Linked DNA regions of Yarrowia lipolytica. The protein of the gene in region 1 interacts with the protein of each later gene in a pairwise test. Links are inferred from orthologs where the notes say so. Each region holds a gene or a part of one and is shown on either strand. Other genes may lie near its edges.

Region 1 (3,426 bases):
ATGGAAGACTTTCAGGGTCCCATTATGCATACAGCCGAGTGGAAGCCGTTTGATTACGACAACAAGGACGTTGTTGTTATTGGAAACGGATGTTCTGCTGCTCAGGTCACCAGTGAGGTGGCCAAAACAGCGAAGTCAGTCACTCAGTTCGCCCGTTCTCCACAGTGGATTGTTCCACGGACTCCAGTCACTATTGGGCCTATTTTGCGGACCATTCTCAGTTGGTTCCCGTTCTTGATCCCTGTCCTGCGATTCTTCGTATTTTGCTTACTGGAAATGAATTGGAATATGTTCCGAGGAGGCTGGTGGTCCGACTTCGATCGGTCTATGCGAACCAAGGTGGCTGTGAAAATTGCCAAGAAGAACATGCCTGAAAAGTACCACGAAACAGCCATCCCCAAGTATCAGCTCGGATGTAAACGAATCATCTTCGATTGCGGCTACTGGGCAGCCTTGAAAATGGAGAGTGTGCTTCTGACCTTTGACAAGCTGGTTGAAGTTGGAAAGAACTCAGTCAAGGACATCAATGGCAACCAGTATCCGGCTGATCTGATTGTGGACGCTACGGGGTTCAACATTGGACGATCAATGACCTCTGTGGATGTGATTGGAGAGAACGGAATGCCTTTATCTGAATTCTGGGATGGCAAGGTCGCTGCGTACGAGACGGTCATGGTGCCTAACTACCCCAACATGTTCATGCTGTTCGGTCCCAATGCCACGACTGGACATAACTCAGTTATCTTCGGTATTGAGAACGGTCTCAAGTTTGTGGAGTCGGTTGCTTCCGATGTCATCCAGGGACGAAGTGACTACGTGACAGTGAAGCCCCAGGCATACGACCAGTGGGTGCAGCGAATCCAGGCTGCTATCAAACAGACCAACTTTGCCACGGGTGGGTGCGTGTCGTGGTACATGTCTGTTGGAGAAGCCACTCACAATGCCGTTTCCTATCCTTGGACCCAGCTGAGATTCTGGTGGAGAGCTCGATTCCCCCATTACGACGACATTTATGTTGAAAACAAATCTCAGAAGGTTACTCCAGGCAAAGCGATCAAGGCCGAGTAGTTTAGCTACAGTAGTAGCCCTTAGTGTCAGTTTAGGTCTAATATTATCCACGTGGTATATATACTTAACGACTCGTATCATAATATATACATGACCCTTTTGCGGATGTACTGTGGAAGTTGGTATCAAACTGGTATCGGTACTTGTGCGTACTTGTAGGTACAGTACGTACGAGTACTTGATTAGGGATGTTCATCTAGAATAATCTGCATCAACAAGGACAGTTGATGTTCCCAACAAAATAGGGACACACAATCATGTGGTTCAATTCCAACTTTTAGTCATCAAGTGTACACAGGAATAAAACCACAGGCAAACTTGATAGGGGTCACAAAGGCGATCATAAAAGTACATAGAAACATATAGCTTTGCGTTTATGGGGCTGCCGACTACTTGTACGAATAGTTACGTGGCCCGTACCCTCAAATGTAGATCGCCACCGCCTATCGGGGTTAGGTCGAAAACCTAATGACATAGAAAGTACTGGAAGCTCCTTCTATCTCAGTGTTTAAGAGATCGAGGTTCCTTCGCACAACCACACAACATTACCCCACAATCACACAATGAGCGACTTTGAAATCATCATCAAGTAAGTGAAACGAAAAGAAGCAATGTCTGCATCTTCAAAGCGCAATTACTAACCCAGGTCTTCTGACAAAAAGGTCCCGGTGTCTGTCAACAATGATACCCTCGTCTCCAAGGTCAAGGAGCAGATGGCAAAGGAGCTGGATATCCCTGCCGAGAGACAGCGACTCATCTACTCCGGCCGAGTGCTCAAGGATGGAGAGACCGTCGGATCTTATAACATCAAGGAGGGCCACTCCGTCCATCTTGTCAAGGGTGCTGCCCCCCAGGGCTCCTCCGCAGCTTCCGCCGCTAGCGCCACCTCCGCCATAACCAACACAGCTTCCTCCAATCCTGCTTCCACCGGAATTCCCAACAACATCGCCAGCGGTGCAGGTGCAGGAAACCCTCTGGCTGCGCTCACTGGAGCTCAGTTTGCTGGCCATGGTATCAACCCTCAGATGTTTGGAGATCAGTTTGGACAGCCTCCCTCCGAAGAGGACTTCATTAACATGATGCGACAACCCGGCTACAGAGAGTCCGTGGAGGCGATGCTCAACAACCCCCAGATGCTTGACATGATGATCAACTCTAACCCCCAGCTGGCCGCCATGGGCCCCCAGGCTCGACAGATGCTGCAAAGCGACCACATGCGACAGATGATGACTAACCCCGAGGTTATGCAGGGAATGATGCAGATCCAGAGAGCCATGAATCCCGAGGCTCAGGGCTCTGCTTTTCCCGCTCCTGGCGCTGCCCCCGGTGCCGGTGCCGGAACTGATGGCGCTGGTGCTGGAGCTGGTGCCGGTGCCGGTGGTGCTGCTGGGGGAGCCAACGCCAACAACATGGCCAACTTCATGCAAATGATGGGTGGTGGCGGATTTGGTGGATTGGGCGGTGGTAACGCTTTCTCTGCTCCTGCTGCTGAGCCCGAAGACACTCGACCCCCGGAGGAGCGTTACGAGTCTCAGCTGAGACAGCTCAACGAGCTTGGCTTTTACGAGTTTGACCGAAACGTTCGTGCTCTGCGACGAAGTGGAGGCAACGTGCAGGGAGCCATCGAGGCTCTTCTTGACGGTGGTGTTTAAGTCAAGAGATGATTAGAAGAGTGGGCTACCGGGGTGGGACAAACGGACGTTTCCGCTCAATGACAAACCAATGTACGCATATATATATTCATTTAGCTACGTGTACCAACTCCTGCATCAGCAGTATCAGAGTCAGAAAGTTGCAACTGTATTAATTATATTAAATGATTCAAACTACTGTTCCGGTGCTGCATGTACTGGCACATACAGGTACAAAAATGATCATACTGTAGATACTGTATACGAAATAATTGATGTTAAATAAAACAATGCACTAATATCTATAGGTCTATAATTAATGATACAATGACCTTGCCCAGATCAAACTTGATCTCCTCTTCGGTCAGGGATAACAAATCCAATCTCGGGAGCAGGTCGAGTGTAAGTGTCCTGGCTATCATCTGTGGTGCCACTCTCATCAACGACATGGATGTTTTGTCGAAGGTCTGTGGGGTTGGAGATGGCATCGATCTTGACATGGCCCTCGGGGTCTCGGGGGGTTCGATCTCGGCTTGCAGATCGGCTTCTGGAGAAGCTTCGAGTCATGGTCATTGTTCGAGACAGAGTGGTGGGGAGCTGTTTTCCCAGCATACTCACAGGGATTGTAATACCATGGACAACAACCGACGACAGAATGAGGAAGTACACTAGAGGGTACATGACGGTAATGAGCCAATGAGGGTCGTAAGTGTGGGCCTCACCATGC
Region 2 (3,180 bases), about 3.0 Mb from region 1:
CGGGCCTCCATTGCCTGGTTACCATTGGCATTACCCCAGAGCTTGATGGCATACACTGAGTGGTAGTCTTTAGAAGAAGACTCTTCATCCTTACCATCAGCACTAAGATGCAGGCCCTTAGCCCACGAGTGACCAGACCACCAGTAGAAAGATCGATGAATAGGAAAGCTCTTACCCTGAGGACTGGGGTTAGCGTAGTCTATCACCAGATTATCGACCCACTGTCTCTCTGAGTGAGCCATTTCCCGTCTCCCAGCTCTCTATCAACTTTGGCGATATAGCAGCGGCATGAACAAAATAACCATAGTGGATATGAAGGTCATTGTAGTAAGTTACCGAAATCAGCGGGGGAGTCCGTACCAAGGCCCGCAGTAGAGACAATGCCCTTCCAGAGGGTGTTGTAAGCAAGTGGATTCTGCTGTCTGTGATTGACGAACACAGTAAATGCGTTCTTCAATCGACCAAGAAGGTCGCGAGCACATGCCTTATCACCAACGACATCGTTCAGAACCACCAGAATCTGAGTAAATCTGTCTAGACCCTTTCTGGAGAAGTACATGGAATCAAGATTGGTCCGAGTGCGGCTTCTCTTGGTTGGCAACATCGGCGATAATCTGCGAACGCGAACATTGGCATCATCGAGGGAGACTTGTAGTTGGGTAGAACTGCCTTTGGGAGATAGCCCACATCTTGAGGCAACGACGGCTCGACCATTGTGAATTTGTCGGTGATGAACCCACGCATCTGGCCCTTGGCAGAAGAATCATGGGTCGCCATGGTCCAAGTAGAGTAGACAGCAGGCAGTCTGTCATGCTCTGGATCTGATGTTCGAGTACAAACATCGATGGTTTGTCCCTTTCGCTAGAGCCGGCATGTTTGAAGTTAATGCTTTAAGATCCACGAAGGCCATCCTGAACAATGTCATCAGTGGCAGAAGTTCCCACAGCATAACTTCCAGCCCAATGCATACGGGAGCTGTAACAAATGACGGCAGCTTGACGAGGTGTGCTCATCGGGGAAACATGCCCAAGGGGTCTGCAGTCGAGATGGATGCGAACAGGTTTCCGTTCACCCATGGCGCGTGGCGTTTTTCCAACTCGTTTGTATCCTGCCCATGCGCTAGTGCACTAACCAACCCAAGAAAGGCCCTGAGAGAATCTCATCTGACTAGCAGAAAGATTTGTTAGTGAGTGTTTCCTTGGAGATCTGTTTTGGCACGTGGACAAACATATGAATGAGGCTCTTGATGGGTTTACACATGGCTTGCTATCAGTAGTATCCAATCAGGGATCTCTTTACTGTAGTGTATCTCCATTGCTCATAATAGGCAACATAAAAAGCTGTCTACAGTATGAGCGCAAACCGTATACGAGAGTGCATCGCTTAAGTTCAACGAGCCATGTCAGACCCAACACATCCAATCCTGGTCATTGGAGTACATCAGTGCTGGGTGGTTGTTAACAGGAAGAGTACTGTACATACATGTAACTGTGCCTTGTGCTGGAGATGTCCCGAACTCTAACGGTGCTAACCATAGAGCAAACGAGGTGATGTTGATATTCAGATACAGTACGAGTACACAGTTCGGTTGTATATCAAAATGGCACATAATTTTTCCTTCCATTATACAATGCAAGTAAGTTGTCATCGTTGAACTTGTTTATCGCAGCTACAAGTACAAGTAGTGTACCGACGCTTGTATCGGTACAGAGTGCAGTGCGTGCACTCATCTTCCGTCACTTTATGTCATGCATGACCCAAATCAAACTTCGTTGCATCGAAATTTCAATCAACTTCAACACACCATTACAATGTTGACTCTTCCCGCGACCCTGTCTACACAAACAATCAACTACCTCGTGGCATCCGGTCTGGTCGGCGCAGGTGTCATTCTTGGACGATACGTCATTCCTCGAGCCACCACTCCTGCTCCCCGAAAGCTAGCTGCACGAAGACTATCTTCATCTTCGATATCCTCTTCCGAGGCCGACTCGTCCGAGGATGAGTTCACAGAGGAAGACATCAAGCAGCTGCAGGCTCACGAGGACAAAGCCCGTGGAGAATTGAAAATGGTGCTGGTGGTGAGAACTGATCTCAAGATGACTAAGGGCAAGATCGCAGCCCAGTGTGCACATGCAGCTCTGGCATGCTACAGACAGTCCTCCGATCTCAAGCCTAAAACCACCCGATCATGGGTCCGATGGGGCCAGGCCAAGGTGGCCCTCCAGGTCAAGTCTGAGGCCGAGCTGTTCGAGCTCAAGCGACAAGCTCTCGAGCGAGGTATCATCGCCTGTGTGATCCGAGACGCTGGCCGAACCCAGATTGCTGCAGGAAGTGCCACTGTTCTAGGTGTCGGCCCTGCTCCCAAGTCTGAGATTGACCGAGTCACTGGTCATCTAAAGTTGCTGTAAGCGACTGAAGTGCTGGGCATATAGACAGCAACTGAACAACGAAACTCATAGATTAATGCATGATTTACTATATACAAATGCTCCCTTATCATCCTTTACCAAACTCCTCTACACCTAAACACACAGGACCAGCTCTCCAGTGTATTTATTAGCGCGCACAACTCCCATGCTGACAAGCCGATCTCCTCGCTCAAGCTGAAGATCTCCAACCTCAACCTCAACCTCCATGTCCAAATCAATGCAATAAGCCCGCGCTCGTGTAGACAGCTTGGTGATAGGATCTCGCTTATAGGTAAGAGCAGGTCGAGTCACAACACACTTGTATGCAAAGTTATTCTGCGTTTCGATCCACAGAATCTTCCAGTATCGTTCAACCAGTTGAGCTGCCCGGTCAGTCAACCGTTGTCGAGGTCGCAGGTACTGTAAGTAGACACTTCGAAGCTGTCCAGCAGAGAGAGGTTGAGGCAGCTCCAGAATCATTCGAGGGGTCTCCTCCTCCAGAACGTCACACACATCGTCCTGGATATCATGCCATCTGTCTGAAAGAGGTGTGTATTCCTCCTTTCCAGCAGGCGCAAGCCAGTCTACTTTGGGTGTTCCTCGAAGAGTTGCTAAGTTCACCACGTCTTCTCCATGTCTTCTCGATGCGCACAGGTTGGCGTATTTGCAATACAGCTGATGCTGATTCACAATGTCCTCCAGGGAGTCGATGGGAGAAGCAATCTGTATAACAGAATCCAGTCCGAGGGACTCATGGGGACCGGGTGTG

Evidence for each region.
Region 2: the proteins of YALI1_E02648g (region 1) and YALI1_E32396g interact in binary tests that used the Saccharomyces cerevisiae proteins (3 or more experiments, as listed by UniProt). The link is inferred for Yarrowia lipolytica from reciprocal best matches to the Saccharomyces cerevisiae genes DSK2 and PTH2.

The regions. Positions count from the first base shown.
Region 1 is NC_090774.1:263,214-266,639, forward strand, and holds YALI1_E02648g (uncharacterized protein), read left to right. Parts: upstream 1-1,631; coding exon 1,632-1,657; intron 1,658-1,714; coding exon 1,715-2,720; downstream 2,721-3,426. Other genes in the region: YALI1_E02626g (uncharacterized protein), read left to right, coding at 1-1,068; YALI1_E02678g (uncharacterized protein), read right to left, coding at 3,042-3,426. UniProt on the Saccharomyces cerevisiae protein: Involved, with RAD23 in spindle pole body duplication. Involved in the ubiquitin-proteasome proteolytic pathway.
Region 2 is NC_090774.1:3,238,162-3,241,341, reverse strand, and holds YALI1_E32396g (uncharacterized protein), read left to right. Parts: upstream 1-1,748; coding exon 1,749-2,411; downstream 2,412-3,180. Other genes in the region: YALI1_E32411g (uncharacterized protein), read right to left, coding at 1-242; YALI1_E32361g (uncharacterized protein), read right to left, coding at 2,526-3,180. UniProt on the Saccharomyces cerevisiae protein: The natural substrate for this enzyme may be peptidyl-tRNAs which drop off the ribosome during protein synthesis.